2 linked regions of the Arabidopsis thaliana genome follow. The protein of the gene in region 1 interacts with the protein of each later gene in a pairwise test. Each region holds a gene or a part of one and is shown on either strand. Other genes may lie near its edges.

Region 1 (11,770 bases):
TATTCCACCTTCGACATGCACATGTTTTTGCATTCATATCAACCCTAAAGCCATGATTATTTTCAAGAACCTCAAACTGTCCATTTCCACAAGGAACCACTTGACAATACTTACGATAGATTGTTTCCTCTTTGATGGTGTTGGCTACTTTCAAAGTGAACTTTCCTTGATGTTTAATCGCCTTTCTCAACCTCATATCAATACGAATCATAGTTTGTCGTCTTATTGTCTCCAACATCTCCACTAGTGGCATCTCCCTTGCTTTATTAATCGCATTGTTGTAAGATTCAGAGAAGTTATTAGAAACATCTTCACAACTTGATTTGCAGCCAAAAAAAGCACGACTACAATTGCGTGGATTCCTCATCATTACTGCATCGTACACACCTTGATCAAACTGCTTCAATTCGTCAATGGCTCTATTATACTCATAATCGTTAAAGCTTTTTGCAACAGCGCAGAACAAATTCTTTGACAAATCTTTTCCAGGATAAACTCTTCTAAGATTTCCATATATATGGCGTGCACACATCCGGTGTTCCACCTTAGGCAACTCTTGATCAACAGTATTGAGTAAACCCTGACATGTTAAATGGCACTTGTTATAACAATGTTAAAAATAGTCTCAAAATGAGAAGAACATTAGATATAGTAAACGAACCTTTTGCCTATCTGAAATAAGAGTAAAACCATCTCCATCTTGCAGTTTTAAATCACTTTTCAGCTTCCTAATAAACCACAACCAAGAATCTATGTTTTCAGTTTCCACGACTGCCCACGCAACCGGATAGAATTGGTTGTTGGCATCTCTTCCTACAGCTGCTAAGAGTTGTCCTTTCATATTATTTTTTAAAAAACATCCATCTATGCCAATTATTGGGCGACAATACGCAAGCCAAGTTTTCCGGAGAGCATCAAAGCACACATAGAATTTATCAAACTTGACTATACCATCAATAGTGATTGTCTCAACTTCCACTGTTGAACCAAGATTTGTTCTACAACAACAAATTTCAAAGTTAGATAAGCTTGTAAACAAAAACAAGAATCAAATTCAAAATCGATTTAAAGATATTTTACTTACTCCAAAAGTTGTTCCTTGTAATCATGTATTCTAGCAAACTGCTCATCATATTCATCTTGAATCATTTTCAATGCTTTTCCTCTAGCTTTCCGACACTGGTCACTGGAGGCAATTAATGAGTACCGCTCTTCAATAGCTTTTTGCATTGCTTTCACTTTGAATGTTGGATCTTGCCTAATGTCATTCAAGAACATATCTACGATGATCCGACTCTTGAGAACTTTGCAAAACCCGTCCTTTGTACATGCATGCTCATCAATGAATGTTTTCACCATGTACACTCCAATTTTTTCATCATAAGCACAATAAATTCTGAATTTGCAGTTACCTCCAATAGAACACCTTACTTCAGATTTCTCTGATCCCCATCTTGTGAACTTAATATTGACTCCTTTCTTAAGAGCATAGTCAATCACAGCTTCCTTAAACTCAGCTATACTGTCAAAGACTTGCTCTATTCTAATATCGCCACTACCTTTCTTGCATCTAACATATCGTCTTTCACCTTCCTCACAATCTGAGTTCAGAGGGGTACTTTCATCATTATCATGCTCTTCTTCATCAACAAAGCCTGCTAAGTTCTGCTCAACTCTTGCTTCCATGTCAATAAAAACTCTATCACACTCAGAACCATCCCCAACAGCTCCATCACCAGCAGCTCCATCACCAATAGAACCATCACCAACAGCTCTATCCACATGAGAACCATCACCAACAACTCTATCAACATGAGAACCATCTCCAGCATCACCATTTTCTTCTTTCTCCAAAAAAATATCGACAACTTTTGTCCAAACTGCGGCAAGACACATTCTTTGAAAGTTTTGATCTCCATTGCACAATTGCTTAAGCTCTGAATATTCCTCATATGGAAGCTTATACCAAATTCGTTGCTGCCAAATAGATTCGTTCAATGACTCCATCAAATTAGTCAATACTACTTGTGGTTTGCTTTCAAGGCTGAGAATACCTCCTCCAACATAACTAACTTTAATCCCATTCTCTACAACAAAGTTCCCACCGTAGTAGCATTGAAAAACTGCATCTTCAGTGCTGAATAAGAAAGAAATAAAGTGAGTTTTTGGTTGTGACATTTTATCGAACACTTGGTGTTCATAAAATTACATATCGCTTATCAACTAAAAAAACTCCACAATCTCATCTAAACTATAGAAATACCAAAGGAATTCATTACATTTTATAACAATACACTCGCAATTTGATGATTTGATAAAAAAAAACCTAAATTTTATAAACCATAAATTTGAATGAAAATTACCTCATTTTCCTTCCTCACAATAGAGATTATGAGCTGGAACTCCTATTCCACTAATATAAGCTCTTCACGATAGATGCTTATGGAACATTGTCGTCGTGAAAGAAAAAGAAAGAAAAAAGAAGAAGGTGATTTAAGACGACAAAAACGACGTCGTTTTACAAAAATTTGTTTGTCTCTTCTTTCATCTAAAACGACGTCGTGTCATACGTGGCATCCACGTGAGCAACCGTTAACGGTTTCGTAACACCGTCACGGCTTAGGCATGTATTGACATGAATGGTGTGAGTTTGGGATTTGAATTTGAAAATTTGGTTTGTTAATGTATGGATTTGCACAACAACAAACGTTGGGTATGAATTGAACATACTACTTTAGCTGGGGTATGAAATGACCGTTTTTCCTAGCATAATTAGTCCTAAAGATGAAGATAAGATAAAATTGTTAGTATTAATGAATAGTCATAACTGATAAATAATTGTATGCGATAACAATTTGCTAACAATTAATTGTAGTTGAACACAAGTAAACTGACATAAGTATAAATTCGTTTTTTTGTTTTAACATTTTACTTGCAAAAAAAATTATTTATGGTAACAATTTGAACTATGATACGTCCTTAGCTGCCAGTCGGTTGAGCAATTTTTTTTTTTTTTTTAATATCAGGAGGTTCTGAGGCGAAACCTGTAATTTCCCTAAACCCAAAACTAAAGTATGTAATATTAATTTCATCTCAGGCGTCGCAGTCGGTTAAACAATTGATACGTCAGTATTTGATTTTGAGGTGGCAGCTTTCATGCATCTAAGAGCAACCTCATCAATGGTTTCTAAACTTAAGTTTCTTATTTTAAAGAGATAAATTTTATTATAAAAAAATGTGTGAGTTTCTTGATTAACAAGAAACCATCTCCAAAATACCTTATATAAAAAAATTTTAAGAGAATTTCTAAAATATTTAAGAAACACACATAATTAAATAATATTATTTTTGTTGTTTCAATGTTAAGAAACTTATATTTAGAAACCACCAATGAAATTCCTATAAAGATGCAATCCCTAAAATCTTGATAGATGTAATGTTACTCGATAGTTCCCGTCATGTCAAAAATATTGGTGGTTCGTAACTAAAACCACCTGACATATATCTTATCGTTTGACTTATCATAGGCATGAAAACATTAGAAAAAACTCTTGGAAATTATAAGTTCTCTTATCCATTATTGTCTATGCCACACATATTAAATACTCTTAAGAGTTTTTGATGTGCGGATCATTTGATTGATTGACCAAGAAACTTAACACAACAAGTTTAAAGAGTTCCCGACCTCTATCCGGTACGTCGCATGAGGGTCTCTCCCCACAAAATTCACTATCAAGCATGGCCCATGCTTGCATGAGGGCTTGAACATGCGACATAGAAACTAGACTGATCGCGTGACTAGCCCCCTTATGGTATGTAAACCATCACTAAAGTAGTGTGGTAGGTAAATTTCGATATATTTTTCCTTAGTTCATGCATCTAAAACATTTGAAACAATTATTTTTACATCGTGAAATCAAAACGTAGTTATTGTAGAAATCGGTACACATTAATTTTAAGTAAGAGAAAAAGTCGACCAAATTAGCAAATTCTATTAATTATTATCGTTCAAAACCGCTTCAAATTCAAAAAGTTCCATATGATGTTACGTCATTGTGTGGGACAATGCAAATGTCAACAACTCAGAGTGAACAAGTCGCCTTCTTCGCCAACGCGCTCACATAATTTGTGTAATATTTTATCTTAGTGTTTCTAGAAGCTTGACTCGCTCGCATATTGCAATTCTACCAAATCATATTTTTATTTTAATGAAATTTCTATGATTTTGACAACTAATTCTTGATTTTGACCTTACTATATTTCTTGTAGAATTAGATAGGGTGCAATTCTCATAGAATGTTTCTTTAAATTTATTTCTAACTAATATTAAAAAAAACTATAATATATTCGGATTTAGTCTTAAGAAGATTTACCGTTACTTCTAATGATATATTTGAATATTTGATGGCAAATCGAATTCAAATAACCAACAAGTTGTTGGTCCAATAATAAATTTTTTAGATAAAGGTATTGAGTTTTAGACACGTTGGGAGAGATTTCTTCGTCAAATAAAATGAATTTATTCTAGTGTGGGTCTCGCATGTAGGAAATGTAGGTCTTTTAATTTTGAATTTCCAAATATTCAAAAAAAAAAAAAAAAAAATCGAATTCAAATAACTGAAAATTAGTGTAAATTATATAATAGACTATCTATTAGTTTCTTTGAAAAACATATAGTATAGTAATAGACATTTTGATAAATCTTCATCTTTTACATTTCTAAGTATCCAAATGCTTTTCCAAACCATATGTTTTCGGGCTTTTTTTTTTTTATCAATTCGGTAAGAAACACATTGACGGCATTAATTAACATAAAACTAATAAACTACATGTTTTCTATGTTTTTTTGCTAATTTTTCCTAAAGCTAATCCATTAGAAAATTTTACTATTCTAACTATCATTGTATGAAAAAGGTATTATCTAATTGTATTCACAATTCTATAGGAAAAAAGGTTAACATGTCATTTTCTTCTCCTTTTTAGCCGTCCACTCACGACTAAGAACTTATTCGTCTAAACATGAATTACATGACAATGTCAAAGCGTGGTTAAAACTTCAGAAAGAAGTATAAACCTACCTCAAGAAGTCGTCGTCCTCTTTCTCTAATTAAACTATTATTTCCCATAATAGAAAACACTAATTTTTTGCCTTTTTGGTAAGGAAAGTAACATAGTTGTTAGTAAATATGAATTAGGAAATAATATACAAAGTCTTGGTCCTCTTCTCATCGACTTTAAAATCTCTTTCTCCCATTACAAACCAAAACCATTAGAAGATTTCGAAAAAGAAAAAAAAACACCTCCACAAACAAAACAATGGCGGTGAAGAAGAAATCATCTTGGAGATCATTGATGGTTTTGTGTTTCCAAGATCCAGACAACATATATTCTCCCAAGAAGACAAAGAAAGATGATGGTGAACGTGTGATTACCAAACAGAAATCGTTTCTTGGATTGTCGATTCTAGACATAAGTAATCCAAGTTCCACTACCTTGTCCGAAGATCTCTCAATCTCCCTCGCCGGCTCGGATCTCCACGTGTTCACACAAGCAGAGCTTAGAGTCATAACACAAAGCTTCTCTTCTAGCAACTTTCTTGGTGAAGGAGGGTTTGGTCCGGTTCATAAAGGGTTCATCGATGACAAGCTCCGTCCTGGTCTTAAGGCTCAGCCCGTTGCCGTTAAACTTCTTGATCTTGATGGTCTTCAAGGTCACCGTGAGTTTATGGTTCGTACATTCATTTCATTAGTCCTCTGTTTAAGATACAAAAATATTGAGTCTAAATGTCTAACTAATATTATTTTTGGGGTGATTTTTTTCAGACGGAGGTTATGTGTTTGGGAAAACTAAAGCATCCGAATCTGGTGAAGCTGATCGGATATTGCTGCGAGGAAGCACATAGACTTCTTGTTTATGAGTTCATGCCTCGTGGAAGTTTGGAGTCTCAACTCTTCAGAAGTGAGTTGACTTTTTTTTATTGTAACCATCAAATAGAAATGATCATTTCATTTTAAGAACCAGAACTGATGAAATTGTTTCAGGGTGCTCCCTACCGCTGCCATGGACAACGAGGTTGAACATCGCTTATGAAGCTGCAAAGGGTCTACAGTTTCTACATGAAGCCGAGAAGCCCATCATCTATCGCGATTTCAAGGCCTCTAATATCTTGTTAGATTCTGTAAGCAAGCATTCTTCTTTTTTGATCTTAAGGGTTACACCAAACTAGACCATTTTAGTTTTAGAGCGGACAATAACCTAAAATGGACATATTTGTTTCTTTCTATTCAAATTATGGTGGAACCGCAAATTACATCCATGGTCACCATTCAAAATTATAATTGCTTTTGGATTTGAATAGACTTTTGATGTTTTGATTTCTTTTTTCAGGATTATACAGCGAAACTCTCGGACTTCGGGCTAGCAAAAGACGGACCACAAGGCGATGATACACATGTGTCGACTCGCGTGATGGGCACACAAGGGTACGCGGCGCCAGAGTACATAATGACAGGTCATTTAACGGCTAAGAGTGATGTGTACAGCTTTGGAGTGGTGTTGCTTGAGCTGTTGACAGGTCGGAAATCGGTGGACATAGCGAGATCATCAAGAAAAGAAACCCTCGTTGAGTGGGCTCGTCCAATGCTCAACGACGCACGTAAACTCGGGAGAATAATGGACCCGAGGCTTGAAGATCAGTACTCAGAGACCGGAGCACGAAAGGCAGCAACTCTAGCTTATCAATGCCTAAGGTACCGACCAAAGACAAGGCCAGACATTAGCACTGTTGTCTCCGTTCTCCAAGACATCAAAGATTACAAAGATGATATTCCCATTGGGATATTCACTTACACCGTTCCTACCAAGCCACGCCGGGAAGTTAAAGAGACAAGTCTTCAAAACTTTGACAAGCCACGCCGTGAAACTAAAGTGACAAGTCTTCAAAACTTCGACAAAACACGCCGTGAAGTTAAAGATACAAGTCTTCAAAACTTCGACAAAACACGCCGTGAAGTTAAAGAGACAAGTCTTCAAAACTTCGACAAAACACGCCGTGAAGTTAAAGAGACAAGTCTTCAAAACTTCGACAAGCCTCGCAACGTTTCCACGACTGATAACCATCAAAAGTTCCGGTCGCCCGCACACACGGCAAGAAACCACCGGATAACTTTGAGAAACGGATATAATTCACCAATGCGTAACGAGGCCGGAGGGGAACGGTACTGACTACTGAGTTCTCTTCTATCCTCAATTCGTAATCTTTTCATTTTTTTTACATAAGATGTAAATAGTAATACATTCTTACCACCAAAAAAACAAAAAAAATCTAGTTTAGGTTTTGCTTTCTATACCTAGAATAGGTTTTGGTTAGAGGTAAAGTTGATTTTTTTTTCCTTGTTTGATTCTTCAATCAAAGAAAGCAAAAGTGTTAAACATATTGTTGTTTTTCTAATCAAGTTGTAATAACTTTTGGTCCTAAAGAAAAGAAAAAAATACATTTGGTGTTATAGAAAGACGCGTTATAGATCACTCGTCTATATGTTTTTTAAGTCATCCACGTCTCTAACAGCTGGAGTTTGATAAAGTACTATCTAAACTTACAATCATTATGTCTGTAATGCTTGACACGAACCTATATGATGTACACATACTTCACTTTTTAATTGATAGTTTTCAGGATCACTTTACTTTCCTTTTGTAAATAATTGACATTAAAGTTTAAGAGGCCACAGGGCAAAATGATCATCTCATATAGCCTATAGGCCTTCAACTAGGCTCAAGTAAGTTTATCTAGGAGTGATTTTGGGTGTTGCAAGCATTAATAATGAAAATTTCGGATTTTGGAGCGGATTTGGTTCGGGTTATTTTAGATTCGGATAATTAGGATGAGGGAGTTTATTATCCGTTCGGATTATATGATTATTCGAATTCGGTTTCGGTTCGGATGGTGTTAGATTCGGAACGGTTTCGGATCAGTTTTTGATTTAAAAAAAAAACAAATTAAAAAATTGTACAATTTTAATAAAAATCGTTTAATTTTACTAAAATTTGGTTTAATTTTGCAAAACATTGTATAATTTTAACAAATAAAAGTAAAAAAATCGGACAGTAAAGTTATTTCGGATATTTTTGCTATTTAGTATTTTTTGGATATAAATTATAACTAATATTTTTAGATATATAATTTTATTTAGGATTAGCGGATATCCGTTCAATTTTTGGTTCGGATCGGATTTGTTTCGGATAATTCAGATAGGAATATCCATTATGTATTCGGATTTTGTGACTATTCGGTTCGGTTTGGTTTCGGAGCCGGATTTTTGATCAATTTTTGGATTTTATGCCCAGCCCTAAGCATTATGCCGATGTAAAAAAAATTTGACTGATCCTAAAATTTTTGACTGATCCTAAAAAATTGGAATCCATAACCTAAACCTTTTTTGTTGAAAGGTAAGAATGATCCCTCACTTTCTAACAACTGAAACCTTAAAACGAATTCGAGTTTAAGAACTGGTGAAGACGAAGACACAGCAACTGCAACGATAGAAATAAAAAGCTAGAAAGTGATGATATGAGTAAAGTTGGTGTCATTTCTGAAGAGTCAAAAGACTCGGAAACTCTCACAGCCTTAAGCATTACAGTGCATTTTTGTTTTTCAAGTTTGCTGGGTTGACTAAGTAAATTAAATTATGGAAGGAAGACCAAACAAAAGATCGATGGAGAGTGGTCACTTTAGAGGAATGTCTGATAGAAGCGAAGCAACGTAACTCACACTTGTTTCACTAAGTTGATCAGTCTCGTTCACTAATGGCTGTCAAATGCTCCTCAATCTCCTCCGTTGTCAATGCACGGAATTCCGGGTTCTCTGCTCTCACCACACCTACCTATCATTTCACCAAACGGTTTGATAAGATATATAACCCACAAATGATACAATAAACTTGCCATCATATACGAGAAGAGTTTTGTATACCTCAATCTCAGTAGCCTTGAAGTCTTCTTGAAGAACAGATTGCAAAGCCGATATGGCAGTCTACAAACGTATAAAAATATCAACGTGAGGAACAATGTGCATTTGGTACTTCATCAAGAATATTAATAGATTTGTATCTACAAAGTAACAGCACAAGTAATCAGCAGCTAAATGAACATATGTTACCGTATTCGAACATAAGCAGGGAAAATATGAAAGATAATGCAAATAATTTACCTGCACGGTTTCATCAAATGTGAAAGATGGGTTTTCTTTCATTTTCTTCTCCAAGAAATTGACTGCTTCTTGTTCCTTCATACCAGCACTAGTTGCCTGCACGAATACAGTTGCTTGTCTATTAGCTGCTTTTCAATTAACATGAAATATCTACGACTTTTGAGAGAGAGAATAATTTTTTTGTATATCCTATCCTCTAGAGATCTTGGTCATATAGTCCAGAAGACTCATGTGTAACCTGTATGTAGTCATGTCATTGAATAGATACACAAAACGTGTTTTGTTTCAACCTAGGATCAATCAGTTACTAAAAGTAGAAATGAGCACGATGCTTAAAAACCTTTATACATAAGATTCCTAAAAAGTGTTAAGATCAGCGAAATGAGAAAGACAGGATTGAAAAAGTTTCCTTTATTCTTCTCTGTAAATCTACAAATGAAAACAAGTAAACTAATGAACCCAGGAGCAACCGGATACAAAGAACTAAAGTGAGAGTTATGCTATCTTATAGAGTACCCAAACCTATCCCAAAGTCTGAAAGGCTTACCACAAACAACCCAAATGACCAAAACTCTCCGCAATTATGACTAACTCACTCCTATAGTCATATTATACTTTTTTCGTTTATGCTTATCACAATGACTTATAGACTGAGGCATTTTCTTCTATGTTAGTGACAAGCAGTAAATAGTGTGTAGTGTATGTCAATATGCTTGTAAGACGATATTATTCAGATATGTTATCAATAAATCTTGATGCAGGCCAGCAAAAGCAATCAAAACAGTAAGTATTAGAAGACAAGTTTAGTTAAAGTATAAGCTACGAGTGATAGATAATACCTTGTGACCGTAAAAATGTCCAGCTGGGTCACATTTGTAAAGTAAGGGACCATTCTCTTCATCAACACCCATTACCATAGCGACTTCATAAAGAGAGACAACAAGAAAATTCCTTTTGTCAGCCAATAATATTCATCAAAACGTGAAGGTGATATAATACGCATCAAACACAAGTAGGCACTAATGTCTAGATTGGTCTTAAGAAAAGAAAAAGATAGCAAACTTGCCAACTCCAAGGGGTCTCATGTAAGCATGTTGAGTGTAGACCTGTGACTTGTCCGCTATCCTGTAAGTAAAATAGTTATTTATCAGCAACACCATTTATCACAGAAGAGCTAGATAGATCAATAACTATAAGCCAGCCTCCACTAAGAAGTTAAAGAACCATCTGAAAAAAGAGACACCAAGTCGATTAGCAACGATACCATTTAGCAAGAATGTCAACAGGCATCTCATATCCATAAGTGAACCGAAATTCAGCTGCTTGATTCCTTGCTTGTTGAACCAAAGACCTTGCATCAGCTGAAAACGAAATTCACATGTTCAAATTACCATCCATAGCAATAAATTCTACAGCTTAAGAGGAGATAAAAGGGTCATGAAACGAACCTGTAATGCCAGTAGCTACCAATCCAATGTACTTGGTGATAGGGAACAGATGTGTAACACTAGACTGATCCAAAAGCTTGTCCTGTCCCAACCCAAAAACAAAAACCCTAATGGGTAAGATACACCAACAATCCTCAATCTACTAGAAACCTAAATCCATACAATGGTTCAATAAAAGACGCAACTTTTTTGCAAACCCTAAAAAAAACGAGAGACAATGAAAAGAGAGATTCACTCACAGGAACTTTCTTCTGGGTAACGACGCAAACCGAATCTTTCCCACGAACTCCGATTGAAGTAATACCAGCTGTTTTCACGGCCTTGAAGGCATATTCTACAAAAGCAAAAGTGTGTATTCAGTTTTCAGAGCTCGAAAAGGAATTGAGAGTGGGAATCGGAGAGTACTGACCAACTTGAAAGAGACGACCTTCCGGTGAGAAGATAGTGATGTGACGATCATAACCAGCGCCGCTTCCTCTACTCATCTTCTTCGATCTTCTGAATTCGGTGGAGTTGAATCAGAGATGTGTATATAACAATAAGGAATGGAATTGAATCAAGCTTTATGTCCAAGACAGAAGAAAAAAAGAGTCGAGGTGGTGTTTTTACTATTTTGCCCTTTGATGACCACTTTATTTACTCTTCTGCCACTTTAAGATATGCGATTTAAGATGCAATCAATCATATAGGAAGAAAAATATGTATTTAACTAAAATTAAAATGGAAAATATTAAAAAGATACTTTAAAATTGTTATAAGTTTACTTTCTTATTACAAAGATTAATAAAATTTCTAATTTCTAACGAATTTTATTTTTAATCACAAATTTTTATGAAAATAAAGATATAAACTATTTAGGTATCGATGAAAGTTTGTGAAAACATTGTAATACAGTTTAGAGAAACTTTTGAAGAAAATTTTAGTGATATATTATCGACACATTGTCTTGAGATCGGATTAGCCACATAGTAAGTTAGTAATTTGTTGCAAGAACTGATCAAAATCAATCCAACATGAGTGTAAGCCACGACGAGTGTAACGTATGGGAATTGAGTATTGAATTTGTGGGTTATGAAAGAAGAAATGTAAGAACCTAGAGATCGTGAAAGACCCC
Region 2 (14,483 bases), 5.6 Mb from region 1:
TCATATCGCCTTGCATTTGAGTTGGTTTTTTTGTGTAATCCTTGAACTTGGAATTAAACCATTCCGTATAATTGAAATCACAGAAAGGAGAAAAATAAACCATCTCTGTTTAAACTTTTTGTTTTAGGGGATGTGGGCATGTCGGTTTTTGACCGTGTTTTCCGCAACAATTCCCGGTCCGATCAGCCGGTTCAGTCCGGTTTCAAAAACATTGCTAAGAGCGAATCAAGTTCGCAACCTCAATAGGGTCCAATCCCAACACATTCACGTGCGAAGCTCAAGTGATCTCTCTCAACCGTTCTCGTTAACACGCATCTGTTTCTTTTCCATATTCACAATTTTACTTACATAATGTTTTTTTAAGTTTTTCCGAATTTATATTCCAAAATAAATCAGATTTGATCTTCTCTATGAGATTTTATAATTACACTACATTTTATAACAAATTTGAAAAGTTCTTTATTTATATTTATAGTACAGTAAAACCTCTATAAATTAGTAATGTTGGGACTGCGAAATTTTATTAATTTAGAGAGGTATTAATTTATCTATAAATTAATATTTATCAATTTATAAAAAGATTTTCCTAATTTGGTAATTTTTTGAAAATTTCTACAAAATTTCTTTATTATAGAAAATATCTTTCTAGAACCAGTTACAAGTAAAACATAATAATAATGTCTAAAAACAGCACCAAAAGTATTGATACAATAAAATATGAAAACTATAGTCAAACAAATAACAAATATGAATTTAAGCAAAAAAATTATTATAAATATATTATAAAGAAATCTTTTACATATAATATATATATATAGTTGATACATTTATACAATTATTAATTTATGATATTGATGGACCATATATTTACATAAAATTTTTTTAAAAAATTATTATCTTATTAATTTATCGATTTGTGTCACTTTTTACACTGGTCCCAATTCGGGACCAGAAGAATTTATTAATTTATAAAAGTTATTAATTTATAGACTATTAATTTATAGAGGTTATACTGTAATTTGAAAACATTTTTTTATATATTGAAAATGCACCATAATACTCTTTCTATTTATTTAAGCATTTTAAATTTTAAATATATTATTTTTAATTAAATTCGTAAATTATTTATTAATAATAAAAAGTTAAGAAAATTATTTAATATGTTTAGATTAATCATTATCTCAAATTTTGAATATATAGAAATATAAAATATTACTATTGAAATATTATTTAGATATTAATTCATTAAAAAGTAAGGAATTCAAAAAAAAAATGATTATATAATAAGATATGTCTCCAATTCTACAAAATTATAATACAAATTTCAAATTTCTGATTTTAGGTATATACAATCTAATTATTCCTCTTCCATGATTCTTTTACAATCTTACCTTCTCTTCCGATTTTAGTTCGAAATGGAATCATTAGTTTCTCTGGCGAATCCAATAAAAAAAGGATATCATCGGTATGTTCTCTTCTTCTTGGCAAAAACACATTCTCCAATATGTATCGGAGATTTTACTTTTGTTTCTTTTCAATTTTAACGAAATATGCATTAGTCTTCGTAGAAGTAGCATACCAGTAAAAAGATTTTTATTTTTAACCTTATCACTTCAGCGTGGGCTTTCTCTTATTTGCAGGCCCATAAAGCGAGAGAGTAAAAAAGAGATAAAGTCGCTGCGAGCGAATCAAGTTCGGATAAGGTCCAATCACAACACAGCCACGTGCGAATCCCAGGTTATTGAACAGTAAAACAAACGGCTCAAGTGGCTCACTCCAACCGTTCTCGTTAAGGCAAATCAAGTTCTGTTTCTTTTTCTGACTTTTGATAATTTTGGATATATTTTCCTAATTATATATAGACGACGCCTGCGCTAGATGAATTTGTTGTGATGCGAACGAAACTAACGATGTACGAAGCAATCAAAGACAATGATGATAATGATCATCAATGGCGAGAGAAGAAAGACATTGAGTCTGCTCTTCAGATTTCTCGTTCTTCCTCTCTTCCTCCCGACAAGGAACGATTAGTTTCCCTTGATGTCTTTCGCGGTCTTACCGTCGCAGTAAGTTTTTGTTCTAATCACTTTCTAATACGTGATCAACAATGTAATTAGAGTATAATTGTTGTGTTTAACCACAGTTTATGATACTTGTGGATGATGTTGGAGGGATTTTACCATCTATTAATCATTCACCTTGGGATGGTGTCACACTAGCGGATTTTGTCATGCCTTTTTTCTTATTTATTGTTGGTGTCTCTCTTGCCTTTGCTTACAAGGTAACTTCTTTTTTTGTTTATTCTATGTTGGAGTCTCATTCTTCAATCCACACTAGCTTGTTGACTCACTACATGTTTGTTTATAGAACTTGTCATGTAGGTTTGTCGCAACAAGAAAAGCTTTGATTCGATCTTTGAAACTTCTATTACTTGGTCTTTTTCTCCAAGGTTTGGTTCTAATTTTATATTCTTAACTCCAAAGGTGTTGATGATGTGATATATGACATTCATTATTGTTTTTAACTTTTCAGGAGGATTTATTCATGGTCTTAATAACTTAACTTATGGAATAGATGTAGAAAAAATTAGACTCATGGGTATATTACAGGTATACATATCTAGTGTTTTCTCTAGAACTAGCATTAAAAATTATGTGTTCCAACATTCTTATTGTAATAGTATTAGTATTTTCTTTTGTTTGTTATGTTTTCAGAGAATAGCGATAGCATACTTAGTTGTTGCATTGTGCGAGATTTGGTTAAAGGGAAACCATAATGTTAGCTCAGAGTTATCTATGATCAAGAAATATAGATTTCATTGGTAAGTGTCTTAATCTTGAGTTTGTACACATATGATGTTCATGCACTTGTTTGATTTTGTCCTGGTATTTGACAGGGTGGTTGCTTTTGTTATCACAACTATATATTTGTCCTTGTTATATGGTTTATATGTACCTGACTGGGAGTATCAGATTTTAAAAGAAGACCAAGGATCAACATTGACAACATTCTTGGTTAGATAATGGTTTCTTCCTTCTACAACAACTTAGTTACATATTCTGTCGCGGTCATAATATCGAAACTGTTTAGAATCTGAAGGTGAAATGTGGGGTACGAGGTCACACTGGACCAGGCTGTAATGCAGTTGGAATGCTTGACCGTATGTTTCTAGGAATCCAGCATTTGTACAGAAAACCTGTATATGCACGAACCAAGGTTCTAGATTTTAACCCAAGTCCTGTTTTTCTCAATCTTTGTTTTATGTCCATTTCATTTGATCTCTTATATATTCTCAGCAATGCAGTATAAATTATCCAAACAATGGGCCATTACCTCCAGACGCTCCTTCTTGGTGTCAAGCGCCTTTTGACCCCGAAGGCCTCTTAAGGTCTCTGCTTCTACTCTCCAAGAAAAATATTAAATAGTAAGTTGTGTTTTATCATTGTTCAGAAAATAACTTGCAAGTTTGTTTAATTGTAGTTCGTTGATGGCCACCGTAACATGTCTAGTGGGTCTGCACTATGGCCATATTATCATCCACTTCAAGGTAAACATATCTTTTTATGAAGAAGTTCGGCTGCTCTGCTCAACTCTTAGCTATATGTCTCCTCTATGTAGCATATTAGAGCTGTTGTGTTTTGGTTAGAGAAATGGTAGTAAGGGACAGGTTTATAACGAGCCTTCAATTAGCATAAGACGTACGTTAAGCGTCTCTTGTTAGTCTAGTCCCTATGGTTTTGGTGAATTGGAATAAGAATATCAGTTGTATAGCATTTTTTTTTATCTTATCAGAAACTTACTTGTTGCTATATGTAATTAACTTTTTACAGGATCACAAAAAGCGTTTGAATCAATGGATTTTACGTTCTTTTTGTCTTCTGATGTTAGGTCTCGCACTGAACCTCTTTGGTATCTTCCTTGACTCTTATAGCTCTCATTTACATCATTTGTTGTCCTAATTCATTGCAAGATCAAAATACCTTAGTAAATCACATGTCATTCGTTTTTTTGGTTGCTTGCAGGAATGCATCTAAATAAACCTCTATACACATTGAGTTACATGTGTGTCACCTCAGGGGCCTCGGGATTTTTGTTATCCGCGATATACCTAATGGTTTGGTTTGCTATTATCTTGAGACTCCTAATGAAAGCATCACTCATGGTTAAAATGTAAATCTATCTCTCACTATCTTCACAGGTCGACGTTTATGGATACAAACGAGCAAGCCTTGTGTTAGAGTGGATGGGAATACATGCCTTACCGATTTACGTTCTCATTGCTTGCAATCTTGTCTTTCTAATCATTCATGGATTCTACTGGAAGAACCCCATTAACAATCTCGTAAGTTTTACTTTCGTTTTTTTTTTTACCGTTATTAACGTTTTGTGTTGGAGTTCAAAAATGTTATTGTTGTTTGCAGCTTCATTTAATCGGAATCGGAAAGTAAAGAAGAGAAGAGAAGGGAGGTGAAGAAATAAGTTTCATCAACCAAAACCTTAATTGTTTTTGTTAGAAATAAACAAATGCCATCTTCATCTTCACATCCCATATGGAATCCAATTTATGCTATACTTTTGTAAACATACGGTATATCGTAGAAAAATTAAAACTTCATGGCTATATAAGCAAAGCCTTTTGTCGAAAATACACATGTTGGCAAGTTGTGGGAGCCACCAACATAAGCATATTATATTCAAACAAATGTTCAATCGCACATGTGATGGTTTAGCGATTTAGCTACCGCACAACTGAATCAAAAGACTTGTTAAATTGCTCTCTTAGTCTTATCATACCTTCATCTCATATCCATTATAATCATCTTTAGCAATACTATTTTATTTTTAACTACGAAAAATAAACCTTGTTACGCCGTTATTAACAGTGATCATTTTTTTCGTTAAAGAAATTTAACATTCAAAAAAGATAAAGAATGATCACCAATAAGCGTCATGATCTTCCGTATGGTGATGATAAACATCGTTTGCAGTTTTGTTGTATAGTACAACGTATATGTAGCCGTAACGTGTGAATAGTGTATGGTTAGGGTCATTTTATTTGTGAACTACCACAATTTTGATAGCAGTGGAGATAAGTCAAAGGTTCGTCTTCTAATTAATTAACAGCGATTATTAGACTATCTAACTTTTCTTCTTTTCTTATTTTGATAATAACTATATATCTTCTTTAGCCACCTTACTTTCTCATCGGGTTCTATTTAAATAGGGACAAAGAAAACAAACCATCGATTTGTACTATGTGCTCAATTATATCATATGTTTTGTCTCCATCTATGTATCTATTTCTCTTTTCCATTTGGTAAATTATTTAAGACCCTTAAACTGACTTTTCTCGTGGGCGGCGTCGAAGTTTTGGTTAACAGACAAAACATCTGTTCATGATGCCTGCATAACTCTATGTTTTTATACTACTCATTTGCCCTCTATTTCATGCTACTCTTAAAAATAGCTAAATAAAAATACTTCAATATTAGAAAAAAAATCTTCTTGATGTCAAAAATACACTTTAGATATCCCCTCTAGTTCTTGTGATGCTAATATATTACAAAATTGTTTATATATATAGAAATATTACCTCTAGCAATACAAAAATCTTGTTATATCAATTAAATATAACACTATCCGACTAGTGTTTACTAAAATAACACATAATTTTTAATTATGATCTTTGAATTTTAGTTTATGTATTACGCTTTATAATTTTGTTATCAAAAACTATAAAAGCTCAAAAGTGAGCATCTATACCCTAATTCCGTTTTTATGCATACACTTAGGTTTATTTTTATTACGAGAATCTGTGTTTAGTATATATAAAATAGAGTTTATGAATGACTAAGTTAAATACTTCAATACTAATTAAAGTAAGTCGTATTGATGCAGACAATATAAACTTTAGATATCTCCGCTAGTTTGTATAATGCTAATAGATTCAAATTGTCTTTATGTAGAGGAATTACCTCAAATAACATAAAATTTTCATTTTATTAATTAAATCTCATTTTGTCATTTCAAAAGTCATTTTAATTACTGTGTTATTTGTCTAAAGTATACTCCAAACAAGAAACCAAAGTAGAAGGTCAGTGCCCAAGAGACAAATAAACTTAAGCATGTCCACTCTTTTTAGCGATCGGATCGCTTATCTGTTCTTATCCATTATGGAACATGAACGATGTTCCTTTAAGACTACCACATTCAAACGAAAAATAAGTCATCGATGATAGACTGGATAGTTATAGTTTGATGATCTAGCTAATTGACTTTCATATTTACATAAAACAGAAATGTGTTTTTATCAAAAAAGAAAAAAGAAAAAACAGAAAATGAACAATACATCTCACATGGAGTTTGTACAAGAATCCATAATAATTTTTTGTTCGGTACAGTAGGTTAGATATACATTTGAATACAGTTTACAAGCCAAATGTTAGAAGCAACATATTTATATAGTATCATCAATATACGATCCAAAATGAATTATAGATTGACTTATGGAAAAGTTAGATACTATATGCATGATTGCCAAATACATTGAAAAATAACAATTTAAGTTCTTCAAACAAAAGTTTATAAATGACTCGGTGTTTGACATAACTCGGGGTTGTTTTTCTTTGTTAATTCACACACGGGGTTGGTGTATAAATGACTTCGGTGTTTGAAATGTATGACACGGTATAAATAAAAAAGGTAAGGAAGAAATGAAGAATAGAAGAAGAACAAAAAAAAAAGGAAATTAAAAAAAAGTCAAAATAAATGGTCAGTAAAGGATTTTGACCAGACCGGAGCGGTCCATCCATAGTTTCCCACTACCTTCCCTGATTTAGCACAGAAGAATGGCAATTTGCATGCCATTTATTTCATCTATTCCTCCTTCACTCTATAAATATATTTTAAACAAAATCAATTTCTTCCATACACAAAAATCAAACACCTTTTGAGAGCGGTTATTTTTTCTCTATCAACTAATACAGTAACCTTACGGGTGTTTATTTGTATAGATCTCTGTGGTTTTCTTGGCCAAATCTAGTGAGATCTTTTTGGTTTCTCGAATTCGATGAAAATGAGACGAGGCAATTCAAGTAACGACCATGAACTTGGGATTCTACGAGGAGCTAACTCGGACACCAACTCGGACACGGAGAGCATCGCTAGCGACCGTGGTGCCTTTAGCGGTCCGCTTGGCCGGCCTAAACGTGCGTCCAAGAAAAACGCAAGATTCGCCGACGATCTTCCCAAGAGAAGCAATAGTGTTGCTGGCGGCCGTGGTGATGACGATGAGTACGTGGAGATCACGCTAGACATCAGGGACGACTCGGTGGCCGTCCATAGTGTCCAACAAGCAGCTGGAGGTGGAGGCCACCTGGAGGACCCGGAGCTAGCCCTTCTTACGAAGAAGACTCTCGAGAGCAGCCTCAACAACACCACCTCCTTATCTTTCTTCCGAAGCACCTCCTCACGCATCAAGAACGCCTCCCGCGAGCTCCGCCGCGTGTTCTCTAGACGTCCCTCCCCGGCCGTGCGGCGGTTTGACCGCACGAGCTCCGCGGCCATCCACGCACTCAAAGGTCTCAAGTTCATTGCCACCAAGACGGCCGCATGGCCGGCCGTCGACCAACGTTTCGATAAACTCTCCGCTGATTCCAACGGCCTCTTACTCTCTGCCAAGTTTTGGGAATGCTTAGGTAAGTAAATCACTTCTTACTAAGCAATTCTATTAGTACTATATGTTTCCATTTTTGTGTTAGTCTCATTTTTGTTTTGTTTTTTACTCTAGGAATGAATAAGGAATCTAAAGACTTCGCTGACCAGCTCTTTAGAGCATTAGCTCGCCGGAATAACGTCTCCGGCGATGCAATCACAAAGGAACAGCTTAGGATATTCTGGGAACAGATCTCAGACGAAAGCTTTGATGCCAAACTCCAAGTCTTTTTTGACATGTAAGCTTTTTTTTACATATCTTCACCTAACCCACAATAAATATATAACGCGTAATCACTATTTGTCGTTTAATATTGACTCTTAATGAAAATTAAACGGTCATCAGAATTTAAGGACCAAAAGTAGTAATATTAATCATTTGTGGAGTTTTGGTGGATTTGTAACTAATATATGACATCACTGTTTGGTCAGGGTGGACAAAGATGAAGATGGGCGAGTAACAGAAGAAGAGGTGGCTGAGGTGAGAAAACACACACACCACTCAATAATTATCTTTTTCAAATATTTTATTATATTTATACATTTTTTTTATCTTATATTTATTCATATTCCTGGTTGAATTTTTTTTCTCTTATTTTATACGTTATTCTTGGTTGATTATTTTGACAATTTTGTCCACGCGCAAATCCCCACTGACTTTATCTGCTGACGTTTACTATTAACATCATCAATATATTAACTTCATGTGAACACGACAAAATGGTAATAGATAGATAGAGTAGTAGTCTTTGTTACTTTAGCTTAGGTTATTAATGTTTCAAATACTTTAGCTTTTGTTTTCTAATTTGTTGGTAATTTATTGCAGATTATTAGTCTTAGTGCTTCTGCAAACAAGCTCTCAAATATTCAAAAGCAAGCCAAAGAATATGCGGCACTGATAATGGAAGAGTTGGACCCAGACAATGCTGGGTTTATTATGGTACGTGTGGTCCACTTTCACCCACTCAATCACACTAATGGTATTATGTACGTCGTAAATTTAACCACTCTTAAAATACTAGAAAAAACGTGGAAAAACATAACGTTCTAGAAGTCTTTAGTGGTCAAAATTGGGTCACCATGATGTTTTTTAATTTCCAACTTATTGGGCCATCTTGAACTTTTTACCAAACCAATCAACAAAATCTCGACAATGGGTGGTTAGTGGTTACGATATGAAGAAATGACCAATAAAATTGTAAAATATATGAACTAACACTATAATCCAAGCTTAGAAAGTCTTAGGCGGCTTCCGATAGTATATTGTTTTTTAATTATTGGAGAAACCTATGAAAAGTGTTTTTAAGAAAAACAGTTTGGAACATTAATGTTTTATTGTAACGTTTTAGTTAATTATATGATATGGACATTGGTGAAACAGATCGAAAACTTGGAAATGTTGCTATTACAAGCACCAAACCAGTCGGTGCGGATGGGAGACAGCAGGATACTTAGTCAGATGTTAAGTCAGAAGCTTAGACCGGCAAAAGAGAGCAACCCTTTAGTGAGATGGTCGGAGAAAATCAAATATTTCATACTTGACAATTGGCAGAGACTATGGATAATGATGTTATGGCTTGGCATCTGTGGTGGCCTCTTTACTTATAAATTCATTCAGTACAAGAACAAAGCTGCCTATGGTGTCATGGGTTATTGCGTTTGTGTCGCCAAAGGAGGCGCCGAGACTCTCAAATTCAACATGGCTCTCATATTGTTGCCTGTTTGTCGAAACACCATCACTTGGCTTAGGAACAAGACTAAGCTTGGTACTGTCGTTCCTTTTGATGATAGTCTTAACTTCCACAAGGTTATTGCAAGCGGGATAGTCGTCGGTGTTTTACTCCATGCGGGTGCCCATTTAACGTGTGATTTTCCACGTTTAATTGCCGCGGATGAGGACACCTATGAGCCGATGGAAAAATACTTTGGGGATCAACCGACTAGCTACTGGTGGTTTGTGAAAGGAGTGGAAGGATGGACTGGCATTGTGATGGTTGTGCTAATGGCTATAGCCTTTACACTCGCGACGCCTTGGTTCCGACGTAACAAGCTTAACTTACCTAACTTCCTCAAGAAGCTTACCGGTTTCAACGCCTTTTGGTACACCCACCATTTGTTCATCATTGTTTATGCTCTTCTCATTGTCCATGGTATCAAGCTCTACCTCACAAAGATTTGGTATCAGAAAACGGTACTCTCTTCAAACCTCATTTTATCTGTTTTAATTTCTTATTTTCTTTCCTTTTTCCGGTTAATAACATTTATTACCTGTTTGTATGATTCTTGTAGACATGGATGTATCTTGCTGTACCCATCCTTCTATATGCATCGGAGAGGCTGCTCCGTGCTTTCAGATCAAGCATCAAACCGGTTAAGATGATCAAGGTCAGATATATTTCTATTTATCTCTTGAAAACCTTATGTTTCAAGAAATATTTCAACTAATACTTTTAAACCATCTTATTTTATAGTTCTTTTTGATAAAAGTTTGAAAATTGCCTTTGAACTTAATCTATATATATGTAACAACAGGTGGCTGTTTACCCCGGGAACGTGTTGTCTCTACACATGACGAAGCCACAAGGATTCAAATACAAAAGTGGACAGTTCATGTTGGTGAACTGCCGAGCCGTATCTCCATTCGAATGGCATCCTTTCTCAATCACATCAGCTCCCGGAGACGATTACCTGAGCGTACATATCCGCACTCTCGGTGACTGGACACGTAAGCTCAGGACCGTTTTCTCCGAGGTTTGCAAACCTCCTACCGCCGGTAAAAGCGGTCTTCTCCGAGCAGACGGAGGAGATGGAAACCTCCCGTTCCCGAAGGTCCTTATCGACGGTCCATACGGTGCTCCCGCACAAGACTACAAGAAATACGACGTGGTACTCCTCGTAGGTCTCGGCATTGGAGCCACGCCTATGATCAGTATCCTTAAGGACATCATCAACAACATGAAAGGTCCTGACCGCGACAGCGACATTGAGAACAATAACAGTAACAACAATAGTAAAGGGTTTAAGACAAGGAAAGCTTATTTCTACTGGGTGACTAGGGAACAAGGATCATTCGAGTGGTTCAAGGGAATAATGGACGAGATTTCGGAGTTAGACGAGGAAGGAATCATCGAGCTTCACAATTATTGCACGAGTGTGTACGAGGAAGGTGATGCAAGAGTGGCTCTCATTGCCATGCTTCAGTCGTTGCAACACGCTAAGAACGGTGTGGATGTTGTGTCGGGTACACGTGTCAAGTCCCACTTCGCTAAACCTAACTGGAGACAAGTCTACAAGAAGATCGCTGTTCAACATCCCGGCAAAAGAATAGGTAACTAATCTCGACCGTTAATCTCGTTATGTACGTGATGTTGTATAATAATTAATAAAGTGATGAATTTAGACTAAATACTAATATGAATTTTGATTGCAGGAGTCTTCTACTGTGGAATGCCAGGAATGATAAAGGAATTAAAAAATCTAGCTTTGGATTTTTCTCGAAAGACAACTACCAAGTTTGACTTCCACAAAGAGAACTTCTAGATTAATTATATACGTTGTAGAAAAATAAAACAAGAAACAACTATACAAATAAATATTTATTTTAAATTCTTTTCATTTTTATGTAAAATTATCTGAGTTATCTTTTTTTGTTCTTCTATATCCCTACCGTTTTGTTGGTTACTTTTTCACTACTTAGTTTAATGCCAAATTAAGTATAAGATAGTAGAAGTTTATATAGTTACAGCTTTGGTGTTGTAAACATGTAATCATGGAGTTATCTGTACTATTATTTTGTACTTATATTCGAATATTAACAACTAAAGATAGTTTTGATATTCAATACCCATTACTCATTTAACATAATGAATAGAGATATCAACATTAGATACGTCTTGATTATTTGCTCACCAATGCATTTGCGTGTTTAACTTGTTTATATGTTATTAATAGTGTTCTTTTAGTTAAAATGACAAATAATTTCTTAACTCAAAAGCATCTTATATCACAACTCTAGCTAGATTAGTTTAGCTTTTCATAAGTCTTCTTGCGTTTACGTCTTTATTTATGGGTTGATACCCTATTCACTACTTTAATTTGCCTTGCACTTGGGATAGTTTAAAAGACTTTAAAATTATGCAGCTAGAATATAATCAAAACTTGATATAAGTATCAAAATAATTAAATACAATTGCTATCGATAATAATCAGAAACAATCGTTATGAATGGTTAAGTTTGTTTCCTTAAAATGGTTACGAATGATTAATTTTGTTCCTTAGGTAAACTAAAAGTTCAAAAACAAATCCAACCTACTACAATCTAAGAAAACTGACAAAGTTTATGGTTGATTACAGAATAGGTCGCTTGAGCGTCAAATTAAGATAAAGAAGGAGACTTATGTAGAGCCGGCCCTTGGGCCAACCAGGCGAAGCATAGGTTTGCAGCTGCTAATAATATAATTTGAGTTTGGCTTTTTTCTAGAAAACTTTCTTTAAGTCTAGTGGTTCAATTATGGTGGGTACATCATCAGTTCATGGGTTTGACTTTTGAGACAAGTGAGACCGAATTTTTTTGTTTTTTCAACAAAATTCTAAAATAGATAAAACTTATGCGGCCCATTTCATTGTTCACTTGTAGGCTTGTAAAACTCAAGGCCGGGTCTGGAGTGTGATGTCAAGACTCAATATTATAACACTCTACTTCATATTTCACTATTTTGTGCATTATCTAGCTTCCAATTTTCTTTGCATTTCACAGTGTATCAATAGTTACTTTAGTGATGTCAAGATTACACTTTTAACACATTTTAAGTGTAGTTTTACAACATAAACTTGTGTCTCTAATTGGCAAAGTGAATTGCTAACGAGATCATGAATTCTGACTGTTGAGTCTGAGCGAATGAAACAAATGGACCAACATATGATTAAGGCCTGGAGTGACATATAAGCCAAAAAATAATGCTCTATATTGTAACACTTAAAAGATCTTACACAGTACGGTCTCAAGGAGGAAGAAAACATATTCCGCAAAGCAGATCCTTCCTTCAACTTCAACATATTAAATGAAAACAGATCTAAGAGACCGTAATATTTCGATCCTAGAAAATAAGAGAACTCGAAGGATTTATCATAGACAACACAAAATAAGAACGTACGTTAGCAAAGATCATAATATGAATCTATTATTCATATCTATTGCCAACATGTTTATATATATATATGGATATGGGTTTAGGTGCCTCGGGCTAGCATTTCTTGATACCTCTTGAAGGACAAGAGTTTCTGAAGCTTCATCTGCTTATGAAACCTAGAAATAAAGAGATCCGCGACATGGTCGATCTCATCTTCTAGCTTGAAATTCTCTCCTTCTTCTTCCTTCGAGGTCCTCACCATATCTATCACAGAACTACCTTGACCTTCCTCCTCCAAGTCCCCGAAGTCCTCCTCTCCTTCGAACAACGTGTGCCTCAGATCAGGATACTTGTCGCTTTCCTCCTCGTGAACGTCATATTCCTCATGATGAGCCATTGTGGATGCCTTGCTGTTGTAGAGGACTATAGCCTTGTTCTTGTCTTGGTCCTGGTCGTTATCGTCGTCTTGATCCGCATGGCCCAAGAGGTGGTGAATCTTGTTGGAAATGGAACGGAACCCGAGTTTCTTGTGTTTCACTAGAGACAACATGAGTACTCGTGTCTTGAAAGCACTCGTTTTGTTCTTTATGGCTATAGATTTTGCCTTCGCCATGGAACTCAACAATGCAACGATATGTTTCATCAATGCCGTAGCTTTCTTCATATTTTTTCTTTGTAAGAGCTTCTATAATAGTGTTTTACTTATGTTTTGGATGTTGCTTAATTAGCATGGAAAGGAACATTGGAGGTGAGAGCCCTTCGGGGATTATATAGACCATGGAAAGGTACGGCCACAAGTCATGGCTTTATGAGTCTTGTCGTATGTTTTTAAATTAACGGCTATATGTTTTACTTAATGGCGCAGCAATCTTCTCACAGTTCGCCACGTGGAAATAAGCCATTTGATGTAGTGGATCACTTGCTTTTTCTAGTTCAAACTTTATGCACGTTCTCTTTTATCAAATTTCATCGTGCCTACAATTTACGAACGTAAGCATTTGATATTTCTATATTACTTCTTTCTATGATAAAGGATCTCAAGAAATTAAGTTTATGTTGATTTCGTATAAAAATGTGGCCTAACGAGGTTGCTTTGCCGATGAGTCGGGTATGTTTTTTCTTATAAAGTATCATGCGACATAATTCATGCCTACTATGAATTTAAAATGGTTATTATTTTTCGACTAGAAGTCATGTTTGGTACGTCAAAAATATGGACAAAGTTTTTGTAAAGCCAACATGGCGTTTTTAACATTCTAAATGTTTAAAGGGACTCTTGAGTGGTTCGGGTGTTGAGGCCTCTAGACTCCGGATCATACGTTCCAACAATTGGAGCCTCTAGTCAACAAGTGGACTCTAGATCGCATTGTTGCGGTATGGTTATGAGAGAGCACTTCTGAAGAGCTTCAACATAAAGAATTTCGAGAGTAAAACATCTCAAACGGTTTTATTTACGCGTTTTGCATCCCGATCGATTAATCTCTGAAATCCAAAAATTCACCCCCAACGAGTATAGTTGAAATGGATCGATTAGTCTCAAGTGGAATAACTCTTCTGTAACTTCTTTGTTTGATTTTTGTTTTTGTGAAGAATGTACTATTTAATAAGAAAGATTAATTAGAGCAGTTGGGACTGAGATTA

The links.
Region 2: the proteins of AT5G35580 (region 1) and RBOHD come close enough for resonance energy transfer, tested with the Arabidopsis thaliana proteins (one study listed by BioGRID).

Annotation. Positions count from the first base shown.
Region 1 is NC_003076.8:13,756,628-13,768,397, forward strand, and holds AT5G35580 (Protein kinase superfamily protein), read left to right. Parts: upstream 1-5,195; 5' UTR 5,196-5,316; coding exon 5,317-5,727; intron 5,728-5,822; coding exon 5,823-5,958; intron 5,959-6,041; coding exon 6,042-6,178; intron 6,179-6,387; coding exon 6,388-7,224; 3' UTR 7,225-7,479; downstream 7,480-11,770. Other genes in the region: PAA1 (proteasome alpha subunit A1), read right to left, coding at 8,790-8,882, 8,972-9,031, 9,209-9,304, 10,048-10,130, 10,275-10,333, 10,473-10,569, 10,657-10,738, 10,896-10,990 and 1 more. UniProt on the Arabidopsis thaliana protein: Involved in defense responses. Acts as a negative regulator of plant immune responses.
Region 2 is NC_003076.8:19,390,516-19,404,998, forward strand, and holds RBOHD (respiratory burst oxidase homologue D), read left to right. Parts: upstream 1-6,525; 5' UTR 6,526-7,069; coding exon 7,070-7,697; intron 7,698-7,789; coding exon 7,790-7,952; intron 7,953-8,145; coding exon 8,146-8,194; intron 8,195-8,539; coding exon 8,540-8,653; intron 8,654-9,094; coding exon 9,095-9,904; intron 9,905-10,002; coding exon 10,003-10,098; intron 10,099-10,245; coding exon 10,246-11,041; intron 11,042-11,143; coding exon 11,144-11,253; 3' UTR 11,254-11,546; downstream 11,547-14,483. Other genes in the region: AT5G47900 (heparan-alpha-glucosaminide N-acetyltransferase-like protein (DUF1624)), read left to right, coding at 1,893-2,066, 2,144-2,281, 2,368-2,449, 2,533-2,609, 2,715-2,821, 2,897-3,014, 3,091-3,216, 3,297-3,388 and 5 more; AT5G47920 (transcription elongation factor), read right to left, coding at 12,943-13,506. UniProt on the Arabidopsis thaliana protein: Calcium-dependent NADPH oxidase that generates superoxide.